Lonchura striata: one gene and its partners. The protein of the gene in region 2 interacts with the protein of the main gene of each other region in a biochemical or structural test. Links are inferred from orthologs where the notes say so. Each region holds a gene or a part of one and is shown on either strand. Other genes may lie near its edges. The genes, in order: UBE2W, MAPT, MAPK11 and SRC.

What was found.
Region 1: the proteins of MAPT (region 2) and UBE2W are reported together in a solved structure, tested with the Homo sapiens proteins (2 studies listed by BioGRID, with this or other methods). The link is inferred for Lonchura striata from reciprocal best matches to the Homo sapiens genes MAPT and UBE2W.
Region 3: of the proteins of MAPT (region 2) and MAPK11, one has a biochemical effect on the other in vitro, tested with the Homo sapiens proteins (2 studies listed by BioGRID). The link is inferred for Lonchura striata from reciprocal best matches to the Homo sapiens genes MAPT and MAPK11.
Region 4: the proteins of MAPT (region 2) and SRC form a complex in vitro, tested with the Homo sapiens proteins (3 studies listed by BioGRID and IntAct, with this or other methods). The link is inferred for Lonchura striata from reciprocal best matches to the Homo sapiens genes MAPT and SRC.

The regions. Positions count from the first base shown.
Region 1 is NC_134603.1:32,205,211-32,212,748, reverse strand, and holds the start of UBE2W (ubiquitin-conjugating enzyme E2 W), read right to left. Parts: upstream 3,008-7,538; 5' UTR 2,980-3,007; coding exon 2,965-2,979; intron 1-2,964. UniProt on the Homo sapiens protein: Accepts ubiquitin from the E1 complex and catalyzes its covalent attachment to other proteins.
Region 2 is NC_134627.1:8,748,510-8,756,482, forward strand, and holds the start of MAPT (microtubule-associated protein tau), read left to right. Parts: upstream 1-4,973; 5' UTR 4,974-4,994; coding exon 4,995-5,040; intron 5,041-6,286; coding exon 6,287-6,373; intron 6,374-7,370; coding exon 7,371-7,457; intron 7,458-7,973. UniProt on the Homo sapiens protein: Promotes microtubule assembly and stability, and might be involved in the establishment and maintenance of neuronal polarity.
Region 3 is NC_134607.1:30,045,265-30,052,624, reverse strand, and holds the start of MAPK11 (mitogen-activated protein kinase 11), read left to right. Parts: upstream 1-4,356; 5' UTR 4,357-4,422; coding exon 4,423-4,535; intron 4,536-7,360. UniProt on the Homo sapiens protein: Serine/threonine kinase which acts as an essential component of the MAP kinase signal transduction pathway.
Region 4 is NC_134619.1:9,505,589-9,513,377, forward strand, and holds the start of SRC (proto-oncogene tyrosine-protein kinase Src), read right to left. Parts: upstream 3,002-7,789; 5' UTR 2,925-3,001; intron 1-2,924. UniProt on the Homo sapiens protein: Non-receptor protein tyrosine kinase which is activated following engagement of many different classes of cellular receptors including immune response receptors, integrins and other adhesion receptors, receptor protein tyrosine kinases, G protein-coupled receptors as well as cytokine receptors.

The DNA of each region.
Region 1 (7,538 bases), on a different chromosome or scaffold from region 2:
GATTACTAAAGATGCTATATCAAAATTTTCTAAAGCAAATCCATTCTATTCCCTTGTTCTACATTACTTGTACCTTTTCAGAATATTTCTGTGTTTTTATCCAGGAAAACATAGCACATGCTTGGGCTTTTTCTGGGAAAATTCTTGAAAATAAGTGCTCTTCCTTTAAAGGCTTGTCTAAGGTGTGTTAGCTTTTTTTAAGAAAAAATATGATTTGCCTAAAGTTATGCAAACCAGGTTTAAACCAGTCCAGCAGTGGCAAATTAGCAACAACACTGTGGTTAGAAAACAAAACACAAGGTCTCATAAGCATTGGCTTCTACTGTCACGGAAAAAAAGGGTTACAGAAAACTCCCATTACAGATTGTCCACACAGATAAAAATCACTGTAAGTTTAATGATACATACAAAGACTCAGAGTCACAAATTACTGTGCATCCACTGAACTGCAGTAACTGTTCAGGTTGCTGCTCAGAGCCATCAGCAAAGAGGCAATTTATTACAAGTTTCAAAGCTTCACTGAAGACTGACTAAGAACAGGCTAATCAGATAACTCTTGTAACTTAATCTGAGACTTTTCTGTGAATCTGTTAAAATAAATGTAATTAACTTGGGGCATCATACACTGTTGTATAAAATTACAGCAGTGTAAGAAGCAATTAGAACTTACTTTGTGCACCAGTGTATCATTTTTATCAATAAAATAAATAATATTGTCATAATAGTACAGTGTCACACCACTAGCAGAGCCAGAGATGGCAATGAGTTTCACAAACGTTTCAGGTAAACACTGTGTATTTAAAAACACTATACTTAATCAGAAATATGACATCTTTTTGTTGTGTCAAGTAACTTAGTACACAGCAGTAATTATAATAAATGATTCTGGACCAAAAAAAAAAAAAACCACTTAAAATTATAGATATTGGTTTCCTTTGTAAAACATTTTTTTACACTGAACACTTAAATGTTAATTGACAGAATTCAGTCTTGAAATCTTGGTCATCTGGGAGCATGTCTACAATAAACTTACTAAATTTAGTAAGTTCACTTACTAAATTTGCATTTATGCTTCCAGTTTACAACTCCTTTCCAACATGCTAAACTACATTATTAAATTAGCAGATTACTAAACATCAGAAATTTATTAGAGCATTATGCAATTAGCAACATACAGACAAAAAATCTCCATAAATGTCCTTGAATCTCTTATCAAAAGACAACAGAACATCACGTAAGAAAACAAAAAGTGCCATCTTACAGCTGGTATTTCTAAAATGAATGCAATTACAACATCAGACTTAACAGGGTGTATTTCAGGAAGTGAGTATTACCCTCCACACATCTGACGTTTAGACAACACTTGTCATTCCTGTATCCTCAACAACCTCATTTAATATGTAACCATTTTTCTCCCTTTACAGAGGGAGCAACAGGAATTAGGGTGAGGCACGCTGTAGAAGGTCATTTACCAGGCCAGAGACAGCAACACAGCACAGCTCTGCCAAGTCCCTTTACAGCGTGCCTCTTTCCCGGTTCACAGCTGCCATTTTCCTACTTTTCACACGGTTTTTTAAAGGACACTTCTTAAGAAACTACAGCCTCTATTTTGCAGTTGAGCTTGTAAAAGTTTGTACATTAGAAGAAGAGCATTGCAAAAATGCATTTGACAGATAGAGCTAATAAAACCAAGGCACATCAGACTACCTGCTAAGCTACTGCTAAAAGAACATTCTGTACAGTACGTTCAATTTCTAGATCTCGTTTCATTTCAGTAACTGTGAAAGACACACCAAGGAATGGGGGGAGGAAGGGGGAGTTATGCTTCTAAACTTCAGGAGAATAATTTTTATCCCATACAGTTCAATAATTTGACATTTAAATCCTTTTTGGCTATGCTAAATCCAGCTTATTATGAAAATTAAACAAATTTCACTCATTTTATACACTCTTTCCATGCTGTTCTATTACTAGTGACAAAAAATGTAAGCTGTACTGGACCAAAATGAGATCTAGATGATTCAAATATAAAAACAAAATGGAAAACTATAAATATCCGAGAAAAAGTAGAGAAGTTACTGGTTAAATAAGGAGAGAAAGGGGCCACTGCCACAAAACCTAGAGCTCTTTTCTCCTGCCCCAGTCATAATAAAGCATTACCCACTGAAAGCAGCACAGTGAAAGCGATCCATTCTACCAGAGAAATTTCTGCAGCCCCTGTTTAAGAACCCCTTCGGAGTAGGTATGAATGAATAATTCAGCTGGAAATACCTGTCAGGCAGCAGGATGTTCCATCCTACTGTACCTACAGCAATACCATCCGGCCGAGAAAGCCAGACGGTACCTGTCCCCAGAGCTGACCCCACACCGCAACCTCATTTTACGGAGAGAAAGAGAACCCCACGGGCAGCAGGCGGCTTGGAGCAGGACGTGCCTGTCCCAGTCCCCCTCGTGCGGGGGAATCGCAGGAGCTCAGGGCTGTTGGTCACGGTCCCACGCCGACACGGGGAGGGCCCCGCTGACCGCGCAGCCCGCACGGTGCCATACGTTCCCACGGCGCCCAGCGAATCCGCGGCCTCCCAAGTCCCGGGGGCCGGCATCCCTCCGCCCTTCCCTCGCCTGCCCAGGAAGCGGCGGCATCGCCCCTGACGCCTCCCTGAGGCGCCTCTTCCCCCGCGCCCCGGGCCCGCTGCCTCCCCCCGCGCCCGCCCCGCCCGAGTCCGGGCCTCGCCCCTCACACCTCTGCGCGCCTCGCCTCCATCCCGGCCCGTCCGCCGCCACCTGCCCTCCCCGGCCGCGCTGCCCGGGACCTCGCCGCTCTCAACCTCTGCCCGGGCGGTTCCTCCCTCCGCGCCGCGCCGCGCCGCGCCGCGCACGCACACACCCGGCGGAACGGCTGCTCCCGGCTCCCCGCGCCGCCGCCCGGCCCCGGCGCTGCCCCGGGCTCCGCCGCAGCCGCCTCACCTGCATCGACGCCATGATGGGTCCGCCTCCTCCCCCTCCCCTCCGCGCCGCCGCCGGGCCGGCCCCGCCCCGCGCGCTCCCCGGTCACGTGCCCGTGCCCGCCCGTTGGGCAGCCGCGCGTGCGCGGGGCGCGGGCGGGGCGCGGGCGGGGCGCGGGCGGGGCGCGGGCGGGGCGCGGGCGGCGCGGGCGGCGCGGGCGGGGCGCGGGCGGCCCCGAGGAGCGGGAGGGGCGCGGGCGGCGCGGGCGGCCCCGAGGAGCGGGAGCGGCGCGGGCGGGCGGTGTTTGTTTGCGAGCTGCCGGTCCCGCCGCCGGGGAGGCTGCCCCGGCGCTGCCCGTGCCCTGCTCGCCCTGCGGGAGCGGCGCGATGCCCATCACCGCCACCCGCGGGGCGGGAAGGGGTTGATCCCCAGCCCGCTTCAGTTTGTGAAGGTTTTTAGAGGTCCACGTGCAGTGTTTAAGTCACTCGGTTAAATTCGGACTGCGCCCGCCCGTCGTGTGGGTTTCTCCGGGCTTTCCCTGGTGCGAGTGCCATACAATCGTAGGACCATAGAATGTTAAGGAGCGGGGAGGGACTTAGAAGATCATCTAGATCCGACACCCCCGCCATAGGCAGGGACACCTCCCACCAGGCCAGGCTGCTCAGAGCCCTTCCAGCCTGGCTTCGAACGCTGCCCGGGATGGGGCATCCACGAGCCTCTTCTTCCAGTGCCTCACCACCCTCACAGTAAAGAATTTCCTCCCGATACCTAACCCAAATCCCTCTTCCTTCAGTGTGTGCCATTACTCCATGTCCTGTCACTGGACCCCGCCGCAGGTCGCCCCGGGCCGGCGCCGCGCTCCTTCTGTGCGCTCCCTGGTGCTGCTGTGCCACAGCTCATCTGGCTCTCCTGCACTGCTGTCTGCTCGTGTATGACTCCAAATGAACGTGGGTGTGCTTTAGGTCGGAGCGTTCCTGGGTTCTACGTTTTCATTTCCTGGACTGGAATAATCCCTGTCCTTTGCACCAGGTGATTTTGCCGTACCTGTGTAGGTGAAAATAAACAGGCAGCACTCAGTAGAGTGACTGTGTGCAATCAATAAATTAAACAACTTGTGGAAACACGCTTCGTAAAGCTGTTATTCCTGCTGGAGTATTTCAGACCTAACAGATCCTCAAGATAAACCTACAAAATGTTTATCCAAAAACAACCTATAAAATTTATAATCCCAGTGGTTATGTAAAACTAAGGATTTAATAGAGAAACTGATTTTAGAGGTCATTATAATCCCCGTCTCCCCACTGCTCATGCTGCACATTCCAAAAACACTGAAGCCCCTTCCTCTGCCCCTTCACCCCTCTCCTTTTCTGACAATGTTAAAAAATTCTTGGGTCACCTCTGCTCCAGTGGTAGCCCTGATTTTTTCTTCAGAGATGGACTGAGAAGCAAAAACCAAATTATTGAACAATTGTTTGCAGTTTGTACTACCTTTGAAATCTTCGTTAATTTTAGACCTCTAGAAGGGTTCTGCACCCAAAAGCCAGTCTGCCTTGTTCAACCATATTATTTAGTGTGATGCAAGTACTACCTTTACGTACAAGCTTTACCTTCTGGTAAGTTTTTAATATCCTTAACTTTGAAAATGGGTAACTGGAGGAAAAACAAAACCCCAGCACAACTTAGCATCAGTTTCCAACTTTTATCCAGTATCAACACTGTCATCGCTGTTAAAGTAAGCATACAAACTTTGGGGTTTGCTTAAAAGGCAGAACCCTTTAAGCAGAAGAAGACAGCAGGAGTATCTTTACCCTGTGAGATAGCTGCAGAAGTGAACAAGCCCCATGGCTTTGCAAGATTATGCTGAAGACCAAATCATTATTTGTTGATTTTTGAGTAGGAAAGGAAATTAGGCTACCAAAAGTAATGATGGGAAAAGTATAGTCATGTAAATTGCATCCTATACATTGTCTTGTCTTCCAAATCCAATTCTCATTTATAAATTATGGGCTCCTGATGCTATGCAACCTGACATTGCTCAGCCATGTTTTCCCTGGAAGTCAGTATGTATTACTATATGATTTTTGCAAGACCATTTAGGTTGCAGAGGATTTGTTGCATTAAGCAGACACATAGAGCTGGTAAAGGCTTCTCTTTCCTGCAGTTCTTCAGAATGAACTTAGGCTGTTACAGCACTTAAGTGGAACAGTTACTAGTTGTTGTTTTGCATGATGGAAACATATGTTTATCCTAAAATACATCTCTTAATGCCATATGCCACAAAGACAGCAAGAACATCAAGTTTAAGCAATGGACATGTGTTCAGTTATAAACATGGACATATTGACTATCTGTTTTGATGTACTCACAGCAAGATACAACTGATTTCAAACCATTATACTCAGTTTCTTACGCCTCTTCCAGAAAACCCTGTTGAAGGTCAGAAGATATAAAGCAGCATAAGCTTGTGAATGCCAGAACACTTAACAGACTGCAAGCTGGTTTTGCATGGAAAGATCAGCTTTGTGGTCTTAGGCAAACTGTATTCAGTACAAATATGATTTCTACTCTGTAATAAAGGAAAAGTATCTCTGGATAAAAAGCCATCTTTGCAAAAAAAAAAAAAATGTAAATCACAGCTTTTAACTGCCCTTATGCTCAATAAGTCTTTTTTATCTATCAGAGCTTTTCAATATTAAAAACAAGCTACTTACTAAGTTTTTTACTGAAGTATTCTTTACTGAGATTACTTAATCTATGCTGCAGATCCTGTTCCTGAGGATACTAGGCATGAAAAGCAAGGGCTAGTTTGCCCTGCATATAAATAGAGCATGAGTTAATTACTACCTACTCAATTTTAAGTGAGTATGTAAGTAATTAAAGCATTATGCTGCAGTTGAAACTCGTGGGCAGAATCCCACATCCCCAAATACACTTTGAGTTTATTCTTACAGGACTACCAAAGGTGTCTTTTATAACCATTGTCACATCTTGTTTTTTTTTAAAGTGTCATTAAATGCCTAATATATATGTGAAATATTTTTTTAGCTCCTTGTTGTTGTGGGAATAGGGGAATCTGGAGAATTATCCCTGTGTTTTATTGGGTTTTCCCCCTTTCCTCATTTCCTGGTAACCTTGCTTGCAGAGATGTTTTTGTACAATGCATAATGCTATAGGGATTAAGGAATCAGTCCCCTAAGCACAGTAAGAAAAGAAACACTATTATCAGACTCCCAGAAAGAATATATGAATATTAGTATCTTAAATTATCCTGTAATCCCACTAAGGAAAGGCCCTAATTCCCAGAGAGGGTAGATTTCACTAGGAGTAAGTTATTGTAATTTGGTTTTCATTTCAGTTTTGACCTTTACCTATGCAAAACATAGAAGAAAACATTTCTGTAGTTAACCCTTCCTAATCTGTTGCAGGTATAGAGATGGAAAGCACAATAACTGGTTTCTTAAAAGGATTGCTTTAGTATTTAGCTAATGCAGTCTGATCTTTCACCAGTCAACCCAAGTTTTGCCAGAGATTTCAAGGATCAGAGCTCTGGGTCCCAAATATTCAAAGCTTATGGGGTAAGAGAAATTTAATCTGTTATCTTAATTATTTCAGAGGCTATCTTACACTGATCTGATCAAATACATTATGACTCACATATCAAAAACATATGGAGCAAATAATGAAATTGTACCTCCTACTAATTTTTTTTTTGGTAAATATTATTGAAGTTGACCTAAAAATCCATTTTTCTTCAAAGTTTCCAAAACCCTATACTTACAGGAAAAATGCAACTAATGTTCAAACTGCATTTATTAGATAATTTTCTGATATACCAAGACAGTTTCAAAGAAGTAAAATATAATTCTTAATTAGGGTCCCTGTAATTTTACATTCTATTCCCATGTTGTCCATAATGTTTTCAAATATCACCAAACATTTTTCCCTCTGTTCTCACCCTTTTTATTTTTTCTGTATAATTTTTCTACACACTGAACTGTCACTACCATCTCCTTTATGAGTCCTGGTTCTAAAATGACACGAGAGATCAATTTCTTTTGCCTGTGTCCACTGTACTTTTTAGCTTTTCATCTTGTCTCCTTACACAGAAGTAAACTGTACATTGATGTTAACTCCCCTCATTACTTGAGTGGCATGACACTTGTAATCTGCAGTGCCAGGAGACTGCATCTCCTGAGCATGGAGAACTCCCTGCCCCTCAGGGGAATTGTGCCAACTGCTTCTTCTACTCCTACCTGCCAATTTAGGAAGGGCACTGAGTTTAAAAACTCTGTGGAATTAAGATCTTTGTATAAACAAGCTTGGTGCACCTGCAGATACCTTCAACTAAAGATGCAGAATCAAATCAATAGAATATTATATCAAGAATATAAAAGTAATACATTGCACACATAGCTAAAAATTAGAATAGCTTATTAAAACTAAATTCAAATGCAAGAGAACTTTTAGCTGTTGAGATTTTATTGTTGATTTATTCCTTAGTGATTACGTAGGTTTTTCATCAATAGTGTATTTAATTTTCATCTTAGTTCTCAATAGTAACAGGCAAAATGTCATTTCCATCCCAGGACTTTCAA
Region 2 (7,973 bases):
CCTGGCAAATCCCTGCCAAAGAGGCTTCTCTCCCCTCTCTGCAAAGAGCCTGCTGAGCACTCAGGGCAGCCTTTCAAACCGCTGCTGCTTCCTCTTCTGCTGCCACCTAAGCCCCTCTGCTCAGAGCCCTAATCTGGCTGAAGTTAGTGGACTTAGGGGCAGCCTGAGTTTTGCATCATGTTATGGAATGAGCTGGGTGATCTGGGGGGCAGCACCTCCCTGGCTGTGGGCACCCTGAAACGCCCTCCGAGAGCTCACGGGGAGGGCTGGGGTCTGCGCTGGCCTCGTGGGGTGAGCCTGGCCAGAAGTGAGGAGGAAATGAAGAAGAAAATCAAGGAAGGAAGATCCATTTCGTGCCTGGAGATGCTGCAGGAGGGAATGGAGCTGCTCAGGTTTCGGGTGAGGTGAAGGTGGAGCAGGTCACAGTTGTTTTATTTGGGCACAGTTATTTTATCTTGCAGACAAACGCACTCCCCACTCCTGCAGCTCAGGCCGTGGGCTGGGGTTTTGTGCTGGATAATCTGGTCTCTAATTGCTGCCCTGCTCCGAGGCAGCTGCTGAACTGGGCCTAAGCTGATTTGGGATGGCAAATTCTGTTAGTTTAATTCTCAGCAACCCTGAGGAACTTAGCAGGATGCAAGTGAGTGTTCCTTGGGTTTTCTCTGGCCGGGAGCCTGCTCTGGAGATCCCCGTGGTGTCCCCTGGCCGTGGGCAGGTTCTGCAGGGTCTGAGAGGGACTCTGAGGAATGGATGTCCAGCGTGAGTGATGAGACTCCTGTGCCCCAAAAGCTGCTCTGCTCTGAGCCCAAACCCATCTCATGTCTCTCTGAACAGTGTCCAGCTCTTGGGGAAAGGGGCAAAAGTTTAGACCTTCAAGGAGTTACTTAAACTATAATAAATATAGGAAAATCATAAAAAGAAAAAAGGAAGCATGCATTTTGGAGGCAGTTTCTTTTGCAACTCTGTCCTATTGCTCCAAGAGGCATTTATCTGTCTTTGAACCTCAAAGAAGTTTTCTGTCCTCTTGACTAGATAGCCTGAAATTCCATGTAATTTCTCAGCTCGCTGCATATTAGTGCCTGCAATTAATGAGATCATCGTCCATATTCCTTCCTCTGTCAACTTCTGGGAAAAACACTACTTGGAGAAGTACACAAAGGAGATGAAAAGGAAGTTGCTCATGAATTATGAAGAGCCTTTCAGGCTGATGTTGTTTCACGGTGCTGTCACTCTGTTTTAATTATGCAATTCAGATGGAATGATGCTTTTTTAAAGCCCTGGTTGTGTTTGATCACCTTTCAGAGGTAACACTTAGCTCGTGTTTGTTGAATTTTCATTTTTAACAACAAGAGCGAGTGCTTTGTGCCCTTTCTGATTAAATAACGGGGAAGGAAGATGCTGAGCAGGAGACAATAGCCAGGAGGCTTGGGAGTTACCTGGGTGATCATTTGGGTATTTTGGGGTTATCCTGTGGCTGGCATGAAGGGTGGAGCTGCTCGGTTGGGCTCGCTGGGTCCCAAACCCAGCCAGCATCTCTGCAGGCCTGCACTGTCCTGCTGCAGTGTTCCTTTTTGTGTTTGCTGCCAAGGCCGGGTTTATTTTGGGCTGGGCTGTGTAAATCGAGCCTCTGCTCCAGCCTTGTGACCCCGGGCTGGTCCCTGCTCTGCTCCCGGGGCCGTGCCCGCCGTGCCCCACTCGGAGCCTGGCACGGAGGGCTGGGGGAGGCTGTTCCAGATGTCTGGCACAGGTTACACATCTGGGTGCTCCCAGCTCTGCCCTCTGCCCCTGCCCTCCGTGGGGCACCTTGCTCTCAGCTGGGCTGCACCTGGGGTTTATCTCCCTTCCACTGCAGAGAAACTTTTGGCCAAAGGTGTGCGAGTTTGGGCTGCCTGCCTTAGCGTGGGCTCGGAGCCCTGCCGGGCAGAGGGTGCTGGGGGCTTTCTGTGGGGTTTTTTGGGTTCCCAGGGGCTGCAGGGTGGTGGCTCTGCTGTGCTGCTGGGCTGTTCTGGCTGTGCCCAGTCCTGGTGCCTCTTTGGTGGCCGGGCAGGAATCGCTGCTGCAGACTGGACGTGGGGCTGGGGACGAAGAGCAGCTCTGGGGTGACCTTGTGTGGCCTTCCAGCATCTGCAGAAAATGGGAAACACTGGGAAATACTTCCAAGGACCTGCAGCGACGGGACAGGGGAATGGATTCCAACTGAGAGAGGAGGTTTGGAGTAGATATTAGGAGGATGCTCTTCCCTGGGAGGGCGGGCAGGCCCTGGCACAGCTGCCCTGGATCCCTGGCAGTGCCCAAGGCCAGGCTGGATGGGGCTTGTCCCAACTTTCTGGGACAGTGGGAGGCGTTGCTGCCACGGCAGGGTGGCACTGGATGGGCTTTGAGGTCCCTCCCAACACCAGGAGGGCTTCAGGTCTGGAAAACGAGAGGTTTGGAGGAGCTGTTAATGATGGGATAGGCTGTTGCTTTTTAGATAGTGTCCCTGGTTAAGGAGAATAGTTCTGCTGGGGATGGATAAGGTTCTTTGGGGGGTTTGTGCTTTATCTGCCATGCAGAGGGTGCTGTTCAAGTTTATCTCTGTGCAGCTTTCTTTGCTCTAATTATGCATCACTGAGCCACTGCTTAAAGGCGGGGCTGGTTTTACACTTTTAAGCATATTTTAGAATTTTTTTTTTCCCCTTGATGTTATGTTTTTCTCTGAGAGGGATTTCCCCTTCCCCCACTCAAAAGGAAAAACAAAGAGGATTACCATTATGGACTTCTTTCAGAATTTTCATTCCATCCTTGAGAATTCGAATCTAGAATCTGTCATTTTAATAAGATTTAAATTCTCTTTGGTCACATGAATTCATGACCTGAGTGAAAACCCAAGGCCAAGCTGAGGCTTTCCTCCCTCCCTGTCTCTTGGCTCTGGTGCCAGGTGGTTTTGTTCCCCACCAGGGCACTCGTGGAGCAGCAGGAGGACGCTGTGCTCCATCTGCTGGGAGATGTTTCTGCTCTCCAGAGCGATCCAGGGTCCCCTGAGTGTCTCAGTGATGGACCTCCATGTTTTGGCCGTGCTTTTTTCCCTGTAAGAGGAAGGCAGCTCTTCCTCTCTGTCTCTGAAAAATTGATGGCTGCATCCCCCCGAGCCCCCCGAGCTGCATCGTGCGGTGCCATGGGGGGGTGGGGGCTGGCCCTGCCTGTCCCTGGGCAGCACGGGCAGGGCACAGCACCCCAGTGCTCTGCACAGCCCTGGCCCTTCCTTCGTGCTGGAGAGCCTGGCACTGGCTGGCAGTGCAGGCAGGTGAGCAGCAGCCCTGCCCGCAGCAGCCTCTGCTGAACCCAGCACTGCTGCAGCGCAGGGGCTGCAGCGCTGCATCCTGGAGAAATGCAGGGACTACCCCAGGCTGCATCCTGGAGAAATGCAGGGACTACCCCAGGCTGCATCCCGGAGAAATGCAGGGACTACCCCAGGCTGCATCCTGGAGAAATGCAGGGACTTCCCCAGGCTGCATCCTGGAGAAATGCAGGGACTTTCCCAGGCTGCATCCTGGAGAAATGCAGGGACTACCCCAGGCTGCATCCCGGAGAAATGCAGGGACTACCCCAGGCTGCAGCCCTGCATGCCCGGAGAAATGCAGGGACTTTCCCAGGCTGCAGCCCTGCATGCCCAGAGAAATGCAGGGACTTTCCCAGGCTGCATCCTGGAGAAATGCAGGGACTTCCCCAGGCTGCAGCCCTGCATGCCCGGAGAAATGCAAGGCCTGACGTAATCAATATGACCCTTTGAGCACTAGGAGGAAGGCAGCCATATGTCCAAATAATTAGGGCCCACTAATTAGAGCAAAAATTAGGTATTTAATTCTTTCTTATTTTATACCTCCATTTTTGTGGGTGATTTCATTCCAGTGCAAGCTCTCCAGCCTCCTTGGTTCTCCAGTGCTGTCAAATGGCTTTGTAGCTGTCTAAGGCAGTAATTAAATTGCAGAGTCATCTTGCTAAGGCTTAAAAAAAGCTGGCTGAGAGATCTGGTTACTGGCCCTGGAGTTTCTCTTGTGTGGTTCCATACATCCAGTTAATTTATTGCCAGCACACAAAACCACAAGTTTCCTCCTTGCTGCTGGTAACCTGAGCTCCACTGCTGGATTCAGCGGGCCCTGAGGGTCACGGCAAGCATGTGATCACACTAAAAGCTGATTATTAATCACTGCCAATGGCTGTAATCATACCAGCTCTTAGGAAGGCAGCTGAAAGCACTGTCTGTCCACCCGGCGCGGAGCAGGGGCAGGTAATGGTTGTTGGAGACTTCATTTCCTCTCGCAGATCAAGGCAGTTCGCAGAATCAGCTGGGAGGTTTGGCACCTTTCTGCTCCCACCCCAGACCTGTTTGCTTGGCTCTGTGCTGTGGTGAGGCTCTCTGAGCCTGCAGGAAGGGTTTGGGGTTAAAGCAGGGGCTGTGCTGTCCCCTCTCAGCCACAGCTGAGCGAGACCCTCTCCTCTGAGAGTCCAAAATCCATCTGTGGATAGGCCTGGTGTCCCCCCTCTGCCGCTTTCGGATGGCTTTGAAGATGTGTGTCCCTGCTGGGTGTCTCCACAGGGAGGGGAGGATCCCTTCCCACAGCAGCATCACACCTCCCCAGCAAATGCATCTCTTGGGGGACTGGTTAAACTGGGAAATGCAGAGTTTGGAGCACCAGGAGCCAGTCAGCACAGCCTGCTGCTCGCAGGGAGCTCCTGGGGTGAAGCTGTGTCAGGGCAGTGTCCTGGGTGCACCAGGGTGCTCTTTTTCCTTGGGACATCTTAAACACCCGTGGAATTTCAGTGCAGCTGGCAGGAGGTGCCTCTGTGTTTGTTGTGAGGGATGCAGTGACTGGCACATGCTTTTGCCTGTGCAGGAATGGCCAGACCTTCCCTTTGCTGCTGCTGTGACAGGTTTTGCCTAATGGGTGTTAGTTTTTACTCTCCTTTCCAGGTACCTTTGCTGAGAGGTGGCAGAGCAGCCTCAGGACACCACCATGATGGAGGATCACGCACCTGGCCAGGAAAAGCACTTCTCATCAGGTGAGCACGTCCAGGACGGGGTGGAGGACCTGCCTGGGCCCCTGCTGAGGCAGGGGGAGAGGCAGAGCAGCCAGGGGTGCTGGTGGTGCCAGGGCTCCTGGCAGGGACACTGTGGTCAGCTGGCTGCAGCCAGGGCACCACGGGGAGCCCACGGGGTGCTCCACGTGCACGGTGGCAGCGAAATGCTGCTCGTGGATCTCGCTGCCCACTGAGCAGAAGAACCCCAGACCAGGGGCGATCCCACTGCTGCAGCTTTGCAAGTGTGTGTTTGTGTTCACTCCTCAGTTTGCTAAGAAAGCACAGCACTTCTTTTTATTTGGGGTCACAGCTCGAGGGTGCTGCTTGCTGCCTGCCTTCCTCACCTGCACAGGGACCTGGGGAGAACTGAACAGAGAGCTCTGGGCGTGGGGGCCATGCTAGAGTCTTCCTCACCATATTTCAGACCTGCATTTCTTCAGAAGCTTTTCCTTTCTCATTCCACCGTGCTCCACAGCTGAGCTTGGAAACCCGCACCGCCCAGCAGACCTGGGGGGACTCACTCCTGGCTGTGCTCCATATAAACATCATCTTAATTTCCTTTTCTTGAGGTGCTTTGGACACCTCTTCAAGCAGATAAATGGATGGCCTCTGTCCTGGAGAGAATCCAGAGCATCCATTCATCCAGTAGCGCATTGCGGTCCGGCAGCTCCTCTCAGCTTGTGAAACATCACAGGTTCTCAGGGATCTCACTTCTTCTTTTCCAAATCAGTTTTTCCAGCTCTCATTATTTGATTTGCCTGCACCCTTGCTGAGAGGAGACTTGTGCCTCTTGCCCTGCTCTTCCAGAAGACTTTTGCCACGGTTTCTTGGCACAGAATGCTGTCCTGCAGCAGCCCCGTCACAAACACGGGCTGGTTTGCAGTCCTGGGAGTGCTCAGCCTGCTCTGGGAGGGAGAGGACAACAGGGGCTCAGAAGCTGCACATCTTTCCTCCTTACGTTGCCGAGATCTCCTTGCCTGCTTGTGCCATGCTTTGCTGTTTCTGCCTGCCCGGTTCACTGGGCTTTTCTTTTGCTGGTGGGTTTCCATTTGTTCCTTTCGGCGCTCACACTGGTGCTTTTGGTTGGCATTTCCACGCTTTGCTTGCTCTTGGCTCAGGTGGTTTTACTCTCCAGCTGCAGCTTCTTGCAGCTGTGGATCACAGCTGGTAACCCCCAGGCCCCAGCTCTTAGCCAAGGACCTGTTGTAAGTATGTGAATGTTTTCCAGGCTATCCCCTTCAGATACCAGTCGATGATGGATCGGATGAGCCTGTTTCTGAAACATCTGACGCTAAGAGCACCCCAACTACGGAAGGTGGGAGCTCTTTGACTTTCTGCTTTGGGACCATGCTGGACGGGGTCGTGGTAAACCTCGCCACAGACTCCCCGTGCCGTGTCCTGGGGGTTTCTCAGGAGGAGAACCCCTTTGTTAGTCTCATCACTAGTGGTGTTGGCTGTGCTGCAGAATGAGATAATGAGCCCCAGAGGTGCAGAGTGGGCTGCAAAGCAGGAAAGGTGAATTGTTCCTTGCAGCTCAGGAAGCTGCTGGTGGTTTGCTTCCTGCAGCCTTTACAGGGGCACTGCAGGGCCCTGGCAGAGCAGCCAGGAGCTGCTGTGTTGAGTGGCACAGGTTTGTGTCTGTGCTCCCCAGGTCCTGACTGCCTCGTGGGTAGAAAGGCTCTAACTCCAGAGTGGTCTAGAGACTTGTTCACTGTTGTAATTACCTTCACTTTTTGCCTTCCTCTGGCTGCTTTAATCCCAGGAATCTGCCTTTGGAGACTTGAGGTAGAGGCTTTAGCTTGCAAAATTGTTCTGAAAGGAAGGAAGGGTGGGCAGAGATGCTGAGCAGTCCCAGCCCTGTCCCGCTGGAGGTGTGGGCTGAGCGATTGTCAGGAAAGTGCCTCAAGAAATCAGGACATAAAACCTGTCTGGTGCAGGAGGGGATTTTGTCCTGCTTTCCAGCCGGGCTGGGGCTGCAGGATGAGCAGCCACCCCTCTGGTAGGTGGAGCTGGGTGTCCCTGCGTCCCAGAGCACGGTGCAGCCACTTGGGGTGCTCCGTGCAGCTCCAGGGGAGCTGCTGCGTGCTGCTCCACAGCAGCCGTGTCCCCGTGCAGGATTTAGTGGTGGATTTTTGGGCAGAAGCGTAGGGAGCGTTGTGTGGCAGGGGCCAGCTCGTGGTGTCCCTGTGGCTCTGGCTTTGGAGCCGTGCTTGGCCGTGAGGGAGCCGAGGGCTTCTCCGGGCAGGAAGTTCTCCAGGCCTGCAGAGGGCTTTGCCTCCCAGCAGCTGTGTGAAAGCCGTGTTGTTTTGCAGATGCCACAGCACCTTTAGTGGAGGAAGGAGACCACGAGGATCAGGGTGGTGCGGAACAGCACGGGGAGATCCCAGAAGGAACCACAGGTGAGGGAGACCAAGGTGCAGCTTCATCTCTTGCTGCAGACAGAGCAGAGAGCTGGACTGGTCGGTGTTGTGAGGCAACACCACGAAACCTCTCGCAGGGACGCTGCTCCCAGCCCTGCTTCCTTCTTCTCTGGAGAATTCCTCTCTCAGAGCTGTCCTCTTGCCTTCCCCGTCCTGGGGGGAACTCGCAGCCTTTTCTTCTCTCTTTCTCTGCTCCACACCTGACCATCCTTCTGTCTGGTGTCTCTGTGGTGGCTTTGGCTCCCACCTCCAGGCTCCTCTCTGCAGATCCGGGTCCTTCCCGTGCCAGCAGCCCCTGGGTGCCTCCTGCAGCCCCTGGGTGCCTCCTGCAGCCCCCGGGCTCTGCCCAGCCCTGGCGGTGTCTTTGGAGTGGCAGGTGGAAACCAGGCCACTGCAGCAGTGCTTTTAAGGGTGATGCAGAGCCAGTGAAGTGACTAATTCAGCCTGAATGCCCTGTGGGCAGCCACTGCACCTGGGCCTGGTTTTCCAGGGAAG
Region 3 (7,360 bases), on a different chromosome or scaffold from region 2:
CTCAATAATTTCAGGTAAAGGACACTGATTTTTTTTTTTGGTCAGAATTACATTTTTAACAGGATATTATAAAATATTTCCCACCTTGCATCCACAGCAGTATGATAGGCATATGTGAAAAATTGTTATCAATGTCTGCAAACAATAAACATAGCTAGTGCAAGTGTTATTACAATCACAGAGATATCTAGTGGCCATCCTAATTCCACAGAGAAAGAATGTGGAAAGAAAGGAAGCGAAGCCTGAGCTCTGAACTCAAGCCATATTAGAATCTCTCTTCTCAGAAAGAATAGAAACCTATTCTTGCCATATAATTACTAGGATTTAACCCAGATTTTAAAGTCCTCAATCAATAGCAGGATTTCTCATTTGACTTCACACCTCATTATAGGTATGAAATGCCTTGGACTTTGAACTTGAGGTTCAAAATGAGTAACTAAATTTTAACTGTTTTCTCCAATGCAAGACCCTTCATGTTCTCTTAAGATAAAAAAAATGCTTTTCCAGTTTAAATATCTAAGACCTAACAGGACAAAATAGTCTCAGGCTGGAGCAGGTCATCTGAATCAACTTGGGTGCTATGAAGCCTTCCAAAGAGGCATTTGGCAACAGTGAGTTAATAGCAGAAATACGAAAGAGAATTTCATGGGCAACAAGTGTCTTGTGATTCAGCCACAAAGATACATGGTCCCTGGCAAAGCAATCTTATGGAAACCAATGTGTTTGGAGTAGGTAATGATTGACTTGCTATTTACTAAGGGCTTCATTTAGCCTTTCCTGATGTCTGTACTTTGTCTTTCAGGCATTACAAACAGTGGCAGCTTTCCTATGTTATAATTATATATTTGTAGATGTAGTTTCAGAAATTCACAAGAGCCTGCAAATAAAACCAATAAATAAATAATAAAAATATTAAAAATATAAAAATTAACAAAAATATAATAAAAATAAATCTTTCTTTTATGAAGATGTTACATATACCCTACATTTTCAAAAGAAAGGAAGCACCTTCACAGCATTACTATGTTTAGTTTACTGTTATTAACTTCAGGTGAAATCCATTAATGGACATCCCCCAAATACAAAGTTAAGTACGTAACAGATATAGCAAAAAACCACGGCGGTTCATCGTAAAACCTCAGTAATACTTGGTAGATTTTTAGTTAGAACTATCCTATATTCACAGCAATTGTATTGAGAATGGTCTGACCTCTGATCTGCAGTCTGTTCTATGTTTTTCAAAGTCTTTTTAAAATCAGTGCTGAGTTTACAGTAATATTATGATGTTTTCCACTAGGAAATTTTATGTTTTCAGTACTAAGTTGGCATTTTCTTTCATTGAGTTTTCACGTTTATTGTTAGTATGAAAATCACAATCTTTGAACTCCATTATATATTAAATTTGAAAATTCTAAATGGAATATAAAAACAGAACGAGAGACAGAGAATAAATGATAATTGAAAGGAGCCTGGAGGAGGGTAGGAAAGATGTGCAAGCTTTCTGCAATACATCAAACAAAGAATGTAGGGAAAATCATAGAATAGACTGAGTTGGAAGGGACCCATCAGGATCATCAAGTCCAACTCAAAAAAATAGGAATTAGGAACAACTGGAAATTAGTAACTCACAACTGGCCAAAATAATAAATTCCTTTGTTTTCACTGAGGTTTATTCTAATGAGAGTAATGTAGGGTTTGAGTATGCAGTGGGAGAAGAGCCCCAAGAAAGTTAGTGCTCTGCCAGCAAGTTTTCTTCCTTTGGTACCTGCTAGATTTGCTGTGTGTCTGAGGGACTGCATCCCACCCTGCCCGGGGACACAGCCTCTGCATGCCTGAATCCAGGGCTCCCTCACCAGCCAGAGGATCACACAGCTGATCCCACCCCACAAATTGCCTGGGTGCCTCAGCTTCCCCACTGCAGCACATGGGTGCCCCTCCCAGCCCTGTGCCCTATGTGAAGGGCAGTGATTCTCACTGCCCACTGCACTTCAGCCATCAGCCCTTGCCCTGGTGAGGATGCCGTCAGGGCAAGGAGGGGAGGGTGTGCAGTGTCCACAGTAGTTTCACGGGCTCTCCCTGTCCGTGGGAGTCCCAACACAGCTTCAGGCTCAGTTTTATGTAACAGACATTTCACAGACATTGAAAGTTCCTAAGAAGGCAACGTATGTACAGAAGCTGTGACCTTATCTTTTCTTCATGCCTTCACACCTCCTGTAAAACTGCAACTAAAAGAGAAGAATCCAGCTGACAAGGGAGCTGTCTCTGCCTCTTCCTCTTCCTTCACAGAGATGGCAAAGATGGATGAGCTGATTCTGCCATGGGAAAGGCAGCTGTCAGAGCTTGCTTTATGGGAGGCTTCTGGAGGCCTGGAACCTACCTAACTCTGAGACAACTCACAGTCTTTGCATCTTGATGTTTTCCATTATCTCCCTCATTAAACACAGTAGAAGACCATATACGTAGCATCAAATAAAACGATATCAAGCACAGTCTAAGAGTCATGACTGCAACACAAATAACTGACAGAAAGTGACAGAGAGAGAAAATTGAGACCAACTGTAAACATTTACCAATATTAACCAATAGTATTAAAAATAAATTCCTGTGGAAATTGCACAATTAAAAGCTTGGATAGACATGTACAGATGCAACTTCCAAAAATCATGGCTACAGTTAGAAAGAAATAATTTAATACACCAAAACACCCCTAGAGACAAAGTACAATAAAAGTCAAGAAGTAGGAGTATTTGTTCCATTTTAGCAATGGAAAACATTTGGGGCCACTTACTTTAAGAGCAAGTAGGACTGGGGATGGCAGTGACAGAAACATTTCTTCTTGGCTTGGTGAAGTGTCACTGCACTGTTACTCTGTTTTTAAAACTCCATAGAGTGGTGCTCAGAAAAATAAGATAAATTAATGTATTGTTGGATTTTTTTACACTTTTCACTTTCTTCAAGCACTATGCCCTCAGCATAGAAATTCAAGCGGGACCAAGAAGCAGTCTGGAGAGAACTGGAGAGGTCTGCACTGTAGGGGGTTAGAAGTGAGAACTAGACTATTGCTTTAGGAGCACTTAGTACTTTTTGAGTGGATGGCTGCAGATAAATGGCTACAGTAGTACCATTTGTGTATTTTTTTTATTTGAAATGCACCCAGCAAATGCCAAGTTGCTGGTGCTGTTCACTTGAACAGTCCTAGTATGGAAGCCTTGTCATGCAACATGGGCTGAGGTTTCAGAGCTGGAACTTGAACCATCCGGTGTTTGGAGCACCCATAACACTTGTCTTCTGTCTCATCATGCTCACAACTATTGAAGCATACGTGTTCTCTACACTAACATTATGTCCTAGCACAAACTGAACACCAATTTGCCAAAGCAAACCCTCCATAGTATATGAGGGTCCTGAAAAGCAAGGATTTATATTCCACAGTGATTAAAAGGCAGTGTAAGGCAATCCCAGTACAGTGAATCTATGCAAACAGGCTATGTACAAGTTACTTACAGATGATCAAAGAAGCATAAGAAGCCATAGAAAGAAACAATACATAAAGAAATAAACTGGTAGCATTGCAGTAGTGCTGCAATGATTTTGGAGCTCATCAAGATATTGTATAAGGTATTTTGGAGAGACTAAAACACACAGTAAAAAAGTCAGAGAACCTTTAACTGGTGCATGAATTTTGGACTTTTAGAGCTTTCAGGATTATCGGTTGTCTTGAGGGCTCGAGTCTTACTTGATGAAGAGGACTCAGATGATTGCATGCGGGAGTCAATGCGGTAAGGGGAAATTTTAGGTACCAGAGGACTCCGAGAAAACCCCCGACCTGCCCGGGGCTCCATCAGTGAGCGGGGGGGCCGCACTGGCGCAGGGTCACCGCCGCTGGTGCTGCAGCTCCAGCCGGGGAAGGGGGGATCCTGGCGGGCCCAGAAGGAACTTCAGGTGGCCGTAGCAAAGTAAGAAAGGTGTCAGCAAGGCTTTAGAAAGCCTGAGACACCAGGCGAAGGGCGGGATGGCCGGGTCCGCCCGTCCCCGCGGGGAGCAGAGGCGGCGGCGCGGGCGCTTCCCGCACATTCGGGCAGGGGCGGCCGATGCGGCGAGGCCGCCGCTCCGGTCCGTCACCGCCCCGGCTGCGATGCTCCGGGGCGGGATCGCCGCTTCGCCACTCCCCGCAACCCCCTGGGCGGCCCCGCGGAAAGACACCGGGAGCCGCCCCGGGAATCCTAGCCCCTTCGTCAATCCCCCTCCTCATCCCCACCCGGGTTCCCCCGGCCCTGGCCGCTGCCCCCACCCCTTCGGCCTCCGCCTTCCCCTCCCCTTCCCCTCCCGGTCCCTCCTCCCCGCCGGCGCCGGCCGTGCAGCCTCGACTGAGGGGCGGCTGCTGCTGCTGCTGCTGCCGCTGCTGCCGGCGGCTCCGCGAAAATGTCCGAGCGCGGCGGCTTCTACCGGCAGGAGCTCAACAAGACGGTGTGGGAGGTGCCCCAGCGCTACCAGAACCTCACCCCCGTCGGCTCCGGCGCCTACGGTTCCGTCTGGTAGGTGCGGGGCGGCGGCAGAGGGGCCGGGAGCCGGCAGGTGCAGGCGGCGGGCGGCGAGGACAATGCGGGGCAGGCGGGAGCCCCGGCGCCGCGCCGAGGGTGGTGTGCGGGCAGCGGCGGGGCCGGCGGCGGCAGCGGGGCGGGGGCGTGTCCGCCGGGCACCGGCGTGAGCGGCGCCGGAGCTCCCGCCCCGCTGCCCCGGCCGGCGGCCCCGCGGGGCCGGGCATGCCGCGCTGTCACCCGGGCAACCGCGCCCGCCGCCCGGGGCGCCCCTGCCCGCCCTCCGGCCGCTGCCCCGGGCCGACCCCCGAGCTCCGCTCCGCGCCGCCGCCGGGCCGCTCCCCGGGCCGGCAGCTCCGAGTGACCGCCCGCCGCGGGGCCGCTGCCGGCTGGTGCTGCTCCCGCCGGAGGGAGAGTTGCCCCGAAGCCGGGAATCCTGCACAGTCATGGCGGTTCCGAGCGGGGAGGACGGGCTGCGGCAGGGCTGTCCGAGCGGGGTCCGCCGCTGGCCGGGAGGGATCCCCGGCGGCCGCGGCCCTTCCAGCCGGGGCTGGAGCGGGACATCCGCGGCGGGGAGCGCTCTCCCTGTCCGCCGAGACAATGGGAGCAGCCCCCGGCGGGCAGGCTGAGGGGGAGGACGGGGTGCTCACCCGGTGCTTTCGGGGCGGGAGTCGCAAATTAGGACAGATTGCCTCCCAAGGGCTTCGGCGTCTTCAGGATTTAGAAGGGTTTGCCACATGTTGTCATAGAGCGTTTATCTTTCTTTGATAATTCTTACGTCAGCCTTGCACTCTCGGGAACTCCCAGTGAAGGCTGGGCTGTTACTTTAGTATTTGATGCACACTTTACTATGCTTATAAAAGCTTTGAGTCAATTTTCGGAAATAATAGTGGCGTTTAAGGGGTTTTGAGAAAGAGTCGTGTTTCTTTTGTAAGCTGGGCGAGTGGAAATATGTAAAACAATCCGTAAAGGGCCTTTAAATGCAAGTACTACTTTAAATAAAAATACTAAAAAAAATTATTTAAAACTTTGGGTTTTGCCATGCTCTAAGCTCATGCAGTAGTTCTCACTTTTTCTAGTCAGATACCAGAGAACATTTATGGAGTTTTGTATTAGTTACTTCATTCTCTAGCTCTGTAAAATGTCCAAGTTTGCACATAAACTAGGAACATGCATTTTTAAAAAACCTTCAACTATCAGCAGAAACACTCAGAACTGGTGTGAAGTATCTTTGGATTCTTATCTTTTTTTATTATTTCTAATTTATGCTTGCACCAGGGAGGTCTAGGCCAATACCATGTGAGTGTCATACCTGGCATTGTAGTTAGCATGTGCTAACTATTCCGAGCAGATGCTGGGAATAGTTCCACAACGACTAAATTTATTTACACTATAAAAATCTTAGTTTGTGAAAGAGGAGAAAGTAAACTAAAAGCCTGGATGGATATACAGTAGCAGAGTAACTACTTCTGTGTTCCAATTGAAACTGAATTTCTGGTTACTTTCCCTATTTATGCTGACATAGTTTTGAGGGAAAGACCTACTTTACTGAATTTTATAATGAGATGTCAAGACTTTTGAGAAATTGCAAACGAAGTGAAAACATGTCGTGGTTCACTTGCAGCACAGCTGGTGCTTTGGTTTTTGAAACTGCACAGCCAAGGAAATCCTAGTAATTTTTATCAATTGCAAAGCCTAGGATATGAAGATGTAAAATGGAAACTGGAACATGCTATGAGAAAGGTTTACTCTAAAATAGACATTTAAAAATAGAATATAGCAATAAAACATTGCTCTATATTAATAGCCTTGTTAACATCAATGAAGTATAAACCCAAACAGAAGCTTGAATATGAGGAAAAGGTATGCATCTCTCTGAGAAAAGCCATCTATTTTTAGAGTCTATTGAAATTGATTTTTTTTTCTGTCTGTGTGCATATGCTTTACCCAAGAGACCTACGAGATGCAGCCATTCCCTTGAGTAATATGCTATATTGCTTCTGTGAATAGTTGTACTCCTATTCAGTAAAATATCTAAAAACATATCCAAGTCTTACAGAAACTACTAGAATTAAACAAATTCTTAAGTGCTTTAATGAATAGCAGCCAAGGTCCTGAACTCCAAACGCTGGCTTTGAAATGAGAAGAGAGTTGTTGTAACAAATTTTTTCTACCTCAGTGAAACTCTTCTCTAGGCCTACCCTTTTCTTTTTTCACAGTAAATTATTTGTCATAGCCCGTAGACTTGGATAACTGAATTGATAACTGATAATAAGAAACATACTGTAAATACTTGCATTTAAGCATCTTTTGCTGGCAGCTCAAAACCAGTAGAGCAGTTTGTGTCAGGAGGCTGTGTTTTGGCCCAATTTTTTGGCATTTCATGTGTCCAGTAGAATTTGTGTTTGAGTTAGTTGCGGATGCATCAAATATGCTATGGAGACAGATACTACTGGTTTAAAACAGATGATTCACTTGTAGAGATATATCTGTACCAAGCACAGTGCATTCCTGTTTGGTGGTTTTTTTGTTTTTTATTTAGATGTGGAATAGGTATTAGGTATAAACCCAAATCATCCTTTGTATAAAGAGCTCTACTTCTTTTGTCAGTATTTTAATGACATATTACAAAGAACATTTGGTTTTTTGCAGCTGCACTGCAAAGTGGAGTTGCACCTTAGCATCTAGGTGAATCACAGAGAGAACTGTGAGGTCTTTCCCTCAAGCAGTTAATCCTTGAACTACTTTTTATGTTACTCTTGTGCTTTAGCTCTGTGCAAGACTTTCTTTTGCCTGAACTTTTCCCTATGGCCATTCAAGCT
Region 4 (7,789 bases), on a different chromosome or scaffold from region 2:
TTCCAATTTCCCACAGCCGTGCCAGGAGTCCAGTGCTTTGTCCCAGGGATGCCCTGCTTAGACATGCTGGGAGGAGGTGCAAGCTGTTTGCTTGCTCCTACCTCTTCTCTTTCAAGATCTTACAGGCGTTTGCTGGTTGTTTAAATGAGAGGCTGGAGACCAAGTCCTTCAGGTCTCATTAGATAAGAGTTTAGCTCTGTGATGACTTCAAAGGCCGGGCAGGATCCCACACCAGTAACAGGGAGAGACAGATGGGATTTTGAAGACGTGAGAGTCCCATGGTCCATCCCCTGCTTGCCTCAGTGAGTCCAGTGAAATGATGCTGGTTTGCAGGACCTGCCCGTGCTGCTAAAGGCCAACCTTGTCTCAGGATAGCTGATGTCCCCTCCATGCCACCAAGACAGAAGAGGACCCTCTTGTCTTTGCAGCAGAGCCACCACACTGGTTGGTCACCGCAGCGTTCTCCTCGTCTCATCCCCTGCTCCCCAGCCAGGGGCTGGGATGGCCCTTTCTGCCTCCCCTCGGAACCTCCCTGATTTTCCATCACTCTGGCACAAAGTCATTAAAGGGCAGAGCTATCATTAGGGCATCTCCATCACACAGGGAGCACTGCAAGGCCACTAACGATCGAGACAGGGAACATTGGACTTCCCTTTGCTGCTGCTGCTGTGTAGCCCATAAATAATCCTGTCTTGGGCTGTTTTGGTGAAGCCAGGAGGTGTTTAGAGGAGCCCCTGCCCTGCTGCTCCCAGGTCAAAGCTTGGAAGTGAGAATTGACCCTCGTCTCCTAAGCAAAGGTGTTCCTTCGTGATATATCAGCATTAACTGGCTAATGATTACAGAGACACAGCACACAAGCCTCGGCTCAGACACCGAGTGCCACGGTTTTGCTCTGGGTGGATCTGGAGCCAGCTGAAGCTGATGGCTTAGCACAGGTAAGCTCTATGGCAAAGGTGTCTAGAGCAGCCCAACAGTAAAAATAACAGAAAGGATATTTCTTTAAAGTGCAATATTGCTGATGTCATCCTCCATATCCCCTTCCTCACACCTTCCTGGGCAGCCCTGTGACTGTCTGACCAACACTTGCTGCACGGGGGACCTGGGCTCACATTGAGCCACTGGATTCTGAGGGGCATCTCCAAGTCTAGCAGGGACAAAAGGATTCCCATCACTAATGGCTGGATCTTGGGAAGGTTCGTCACGACTCGGTTCTTGCACTGGTCATGCTGGCAGTGGGTATCTCCTTGGCTGAGAGGAGAGCAACAAAGACCCCCAGCACCTCCTCCTCTGGGAGCACCAGATGGGCAGGAGAAAGAAAAATCAAGTCTTTTGTTACTGCCTTCATGCAGTTTCATAGAGCACTGCTGGATATGTTCTGTGCTGCACAGGCAGGAGCTCACCTCAGGGAACCCTGTGCTCTGCACCCTCCACTGCCCCCAGCTCCTAATGCCCCTGTCTTGTGGGACACCTGGCTGCATGTCACATCATGTCCCTTCCATTGCGTCACTTCTGGGGAGCCAGAGGATGGGCCATGGCACACACAGGGAAGCACAACCTGCTCCCTGCCACCTACAACCTTTACTGCTGCTCAACATCTCTGGGACTGGGACCAGGACCACAGTCACCTCCTGGCACCAAGTCCAGGGCTGAGCCCTGGCACACCACAGCAGCCACTGGGGTGAGGAAATGCCAGAGGAGAGTGCACTGTGCAGGGCACAGGGAGGTGGAGCAGATCCCCACTCAGTCCAGCAGGTCTCACACGAGACTGCTCTGCTCCCTGACATGATGCCCGACACCAGAGAGGACCATGCCAGGATCAGTGCCACAAGATGCCAGCCCCCTACCACACCTGTCCCCGTGCACATAGCCCTGTGCAGCAGTTCCATCCCTGCAGGTTGCCTCCTGTGTCCATCCCAAGTGGCCCCAGGATGCAGCACAGCCTCTCTGGGCAGTGAGCAGGATAAAACCTCATCCTGACCCCAGTGTGGCTCAGGGCAAAGCCCACGGTGCTCTTCCATGGCACTGGGGGCTGTGACAGTGGGAACACACCACTGCCACCACTTGCAGCCACGCATGGGGGCCGGATTGCCCAGGCTGCAACGAGGAACTTCCCGACTGGATGAAGTCTTAAATCGGAGAAACCAGAGCTCTGCAGCCCCCCAGCAACTGAGCCAGGCGGGCACAGGAGGGGCACAGCGAGGGGCACAGCGAGGGGCACAGGAGGGGCACGACTTGCCAGGTCCACCAGGGCTGGACACTGGCCCCAGAATCACCGGTGAACAAACACAACAAGGGAAGCGGATCACGAGACATCAAAGCAGGGGGGCGATGAATATTTCATGTCCTGGCCTACATACAGCCCAGCTGTCCCCGCCCTGCGCTCCCGGGGGTCCCCCACAGCCCCCGAGCACAACAAAGGGGAGTTGCAGGCAGGCGGGGCCGCCCCGCCGGACCCCCGCGCCCCCAGCTCTGCCCCGCCAGGCAGTGCCACCCCCAGCCGGACCCACGGCTGACCCACCACACCATGTGCATCCCGCTGGACCCACAGCCGCCCCACTGACACCCGGCGCCAGACCGCCAGCATCCTTGCGGGGATCCGCAGGCAGCGTATCCCACGCTGCCGGACCCACAGCTGCCCCACGGCAGCCTGGGCAGGCTCGGCTGGACCCACCGCCTCCTTGCCGAAGTGCCAGCATCCCCGATCGGACCCACAGCCGCGCCACCGCGGGCAATTCCCCGCCGACCCGCCGGACTGCTCTGCGGGCATCCCATTGCGGGCATCGCCCCGCCGCCCCGCCGCTCCCCACTGCGGACATCCACGGGCAGACCCTGGGCATCCCCCGCCGGATCCACGGCCGGACCCAGGCACCCCCCGCCGGACCCCGCCGCCTGCCCCCGAGCTGGGCAGCCCCGCCGCCGCTCACCTCCGCCTGGCCGCGGACGGGGCCGCCCCGCCGCTCGCCTCCAGCGCTCGGCCCCGGCTTTGTCTCCGCGCCGGGGGCGCGGCCGCCGCCCCCCGCCGCCGCCGCCGCCGCCGCCGCCGCGCTCGGTGCCCGCGCCGCCCCGCGCCGGGCCGGGCTCAGCGCTGCGCCGCCGGCAGCAGCATCGCGCAGCGCCGCGGCCCCGGCGCGCTGGTGCCTCGCCCGCCCCCGCTCACCCCGTCTGCGGGGCGGGGGGCAGCACCACGGGGAGGGGAAAATAAAAAAAAAATAAAAAAAATAAAAGAGTAATATGGCAGCAAACCGGAAACGGAGGATGGGGGGAAAGGCAGCAGCAGCCCCTCCCCTCCCTCCGTGGCTTTTTTTTTTTTCCAGGGAGAAGGCTCCGGGCAGCCGGGCTCCGCGGGGCGCGCACGGGCCAGGGGCCGCCCCCGCCGCCGGCGCTGCCGGCGCGTCCCGGCCCGCGGCGGGGGAACCGCCTGGCTGCGCCGGGGACACGCGTGGGAGCGGCGGCCGCGGTCCTCAGGGCGCGTCCCCCCGCGGGTGAGGGGCTGGGGGTGCTCCCACCCGAGCCCAGCGCTGCTCGTCCCGGCGGGCTGGCTCGGCGTGTTACCTGGAAGCAGGAGCTGGTAACACAAAAGTGATTTTCAGGAGGCTGAAACCTCCTGGCTGGGTTGCGGTTCGCTTTATTCAACAGCTCTAACACACGGCGAATTGCAGGGGAAATGCTGTTTTGTCAGGTTGTGTTCCTCCCCATCCCCAGGAGGGACACCTCGGCTTCCCAGAGGGCTGCAACCCACGTTCCCCCTTCTCTGAAGTCGGAAGGAGGCAAAACTTCAGATGGAAAAGCGGGCAAAGATAAACCACGTCCTGGGCCTCCCTGGGAACCCGGGGAACTTTGTGGGGCCCTTTGGAGGCAGCACGGGCACGCAGCGGTGTCTGTGCTCCGCTGGGGCGTCCATGGGTTTAGGGGTTAACATCTCCCAGCCCCGGTCGCCCCTGAAGCCGGTGCCGGATCCAAAACAAGGCAGAACGGAGCTGCGGGTGTTCCTGGGGAGGGCACTCTCCAGCTGGCAGCATCACCCCCTCAGGTGTGTGTGTCCCCGAGTTCCACTCAGGCAGGTGGGCACGCGGGAACAGTTCCACCCGTCGTTCCCCTTGCTCCTCAGCAGCAGGAGGTGGGAAATGCCCAGCTTTGCCCTGTCTCCGGGGTGCACACACGGGCTCAGGGCTCAGCCGGGTGCCCCGATGCCTGCACCCAGCCCGTCGGGGCTGCCCGACCAGCTCAGCGGCGCTGGCAGCCCTCCCACCTCAGCCACCGGCGATCCATTGAAGTGTTCCCTGTCACGTTACCCTCCAGGAAGAAAGGGGGTGAAGCAGTCCACTCCTTAAACCCACATACATTTAGGTCTTTTATGCGGCACGCTCGGCTGCTGGCCGGCTGCAGCGACCCTTGTATTTCCACAGCCAGCACCACCTCTGCCATCCTTGCCCACCCCTCCGACCAACCCTGCAGCCACTCCGCGGGGGTTTTCTGAAAACCCTCCTTCCTCTGAGGAAGATCCGACATTTCAGAAACAAATTGGGAAGTTAAAAACTTTTAAAGAACTATGGTGGTGATGTTTTTTTTTTTTTTAAATTTCTGTTTCCCACTCCCCCTCCGCCTTTTGAGTTATTAAAAAAATATTTCCCATGACACTGGCGAAGGCCAGCGAATCCATGAGTCACCAGGAACAAGGAGTCATGCACGCGCCGATCCATCACCCGTGGCCAGCGCATTGCGAGGGGCCCTTCCCTGGGAGGAGCTGGCGCCGATAAGGTCCCTCCAGCCGGGCAGGAGCCGCTTTCCCTCTCGGCTCCGTCCCAGGGCTGGGCGAGGCCGCCCGGGCTCCCCGGACACCCGTGGCGTGTGTGCTCCGGGGGGGTGGCAGCCCTGCCTGCTCCGTGCCGGAGCATCCCACCGCAGCCCGCTTGGTTCCGGGGCTCGGGGGTGTTAATTCTCAGCCCAGCCCCTCTGCTGTTCAGCTGTGGAGGGGAGGATTCCTCATCCGCTCTGCGATGGATTCACCCCGTGCTGTGGGGCAGTCAGGGAACTGCTCTGCTTGTAACGTGGGGGAAAGAGGGGGTCACCTTCACCCTGCTGCGCCGCACAGGGACACGGGGACACTCCCCTGTCCCTCCCCACGGCAGGAGCACCCACTCCAGCCCGGAGCTCTGCCGGAGGGGAGAGCACCCCGCGGGTGCTCCAGCCCCGGGCGAGCCGGTGAGGATGACTCAGCCTCTGCTGGATCCAGACCCAAATCTAAGATGCAATTGTGACTTATAAATATTTGTATTTTGTTTTTCTCTTTTGCAATCAACTTCTTTTCTCCAGGCTGTCCTCCCAATCGGAGTTCCCATCTCTGGCGGTGCCGGCCCATGGCTGGAAGGCAAACACCCACAGCGCTGTGCCTTTCAACAGCCAGACCAAGTCCACGACACAACCTCTTCTTCTTCCTCTAAGATGATGCCAATGTGAAAATCCAAAATTACAAACAGACACTGTCTAAACCCAGACTCTTATCTTTTGGTCTCAAATGCTGGAATGTGCCCTCACAAGGCTGACATTAAACACGAATTGCTGGTGATAGTGTGATTTAAGACCATTTAAGCAACACAGCTCACCTCAGGACACTCCTGGCTCGGACATGAGGTCTGGAGCCTGATATCCCCTGGCCACCCACTTCCCTTTGCCTCCTGCCTCTCTCCAAATACTTATCTTTAAGCAGTCTAATGCAAATTGATGCTTTTTTCACCCAACCAGGGATTTCAGTCTCTTGTCCGAAACTTATTTTCTTGATATGATTCTTCACTTTTAAATAGCGCTGATAAAACCCACCCCAGAGAGAGGAAGCGGGTTATAGAAACTGAAAACCAGGTACTTTCAATCTGAACAAAAAGTAGCACCAAGTATTTCCAGTGGCTCGATTATTACAGGACGTCTTGAAATGATACTTGAAAAAGAAATTAAGACATGCTCAGGTATTTCTGTGTTTTCTTGCTGACCTTTACACGAGTTTCATCAGCAACAAGAAGAATGAGAGTTACTGTGGGCAGATGCTGTCATGCTCATGAGTAAGTAAGTAAGTACGTGGCTCCTTCCCTTCCAGGTGTGCAGATCAAACTGCTCCACAGGGCTCCTAAAATCCTCCTGTGAGGTAAGAGGGTGCTCGTTGTGTCCAGTATTTGATCTGAGCCCTGAGCTCCCTAACGTAACTGCAGATTTACAACAAAACATCTATTCATCTCCAGCCAGCTTTATTTTTAAGCATCCCCTTGGCACGCGTGAATAAGTTTTGTCTATTGGATTCTGTTCCTGAGGCTGCACTTTGTTCACTGCAAATTGCAAATACAGTTGCAGGAATTATTACTATTAGTAATGTAATGGTTGTGTTTGAGATGCTGGCCTGAGAGAGAGGCAGCCGTGGCTCTTGCCCTGAGATTTTATGATCATTGAGCTTTACAGCCCTGCAAATAGTGGTGTGAGATGGGAAATGATCAGCACCATCAGCCCTGTTAGGGAAGCTGCAGTTTCAAGCTCAGGAGCTGATTTAGTAAGGGGGATTGACCAGAATAACCCTGCAGCACGAGCCATTTGGCAATATTTCATGCTAGAAATGCTCATTTTGGCCATTCTCTCCCACACTGAGCATCAGAGCTGCAGGAGCCGAGCAGCATCTTGCAGGTTATAGGAAAAAGGTTTATCTGAGAAGAAATTACCAGGAGGACTCAGGACCTGTTGTGTCCCCCATCGTGGTGACAATCTGCTATGCAAAAGGGGCCCTTAGCTCCTGTCAGGAAGTGTCATTGCAAAATTCCCTGGGGGAAAGGGCTGCAGGGGAAACCACTGACTCGGTGACATGCAAATATTTAATAAGGAGGCACTGAGTTCAACAGCTGTGGGCTGAAATTATCTGCATGGTCAATAAAGGCACAACATTTCCTGTCAGGTTTATGACTGATAAAATATGCTTTGGTACAATCTGAATTAAGTATCTTGGAAAAGCTCGTTTGGGCAAAAATCTGACTCGTTTTGCTTCTTGCCTCAGCTCAGCATGAAAGCCACACACAAGATGTTGGCATCTCCCAGCATGGAAATTCTGCTTTTTGGCCAGTCTAGTATCCATAGACAAGGGCAATTCAGAAAAACTCAGGGAAGCTCATGCAGACGAGATTTATTGCCCTGCTTCTGGCTTGATTTGGTAGCAGAGCAATAGGGGACAGCTGGTTGGTGCAGAGCTCTGGTAGCCACCTCCAGGAGACCCTGCCCCAGGGCTGGGATGTTCCCTCCCTGCCAGCACCCGGCTGCTTGCTGGCCTGCCTGCAGCCTGAGCAGGCAGAGCAGGAGCAGACACCAGGGTGTTTCCCCTTAATCATCCAGTCTTGGTCCTTGGAGCGAGGGATGGGCGAAGGAGGCCACAGTCTGAATCTGGAAAACTTAAACCATGTGATGTTTGGATCCCAGCTCAGTTTAAAACAAGTTAAGTGAGGGGGGAGGTAGGGATGAGAACTGCTTGCAGCTTTTCTCAAAATCTGCTCCTCCTGCCCAGGCCTGACACTGGGGGATATCTGCTTCACCAAAGGAGCCACCACAGCATCACAAGCAGCTGCTCTGTGGAACCACAGCCATGAGGACCCTCTCCTGCACACAGCCCTGCAGCTGCAGTGTTGGGCAAGAGCTGCCCTCAGGGAGCCAGAGGGATGCCACCCCACAAGCTCCCCACCAGCAGCACAGCCCCAGCATGGATCCTGCCCGTGCAGCCAGAGCTGAGGCACAAATAACAGCAGGAAACGTCTGGAGCTGATTCCTG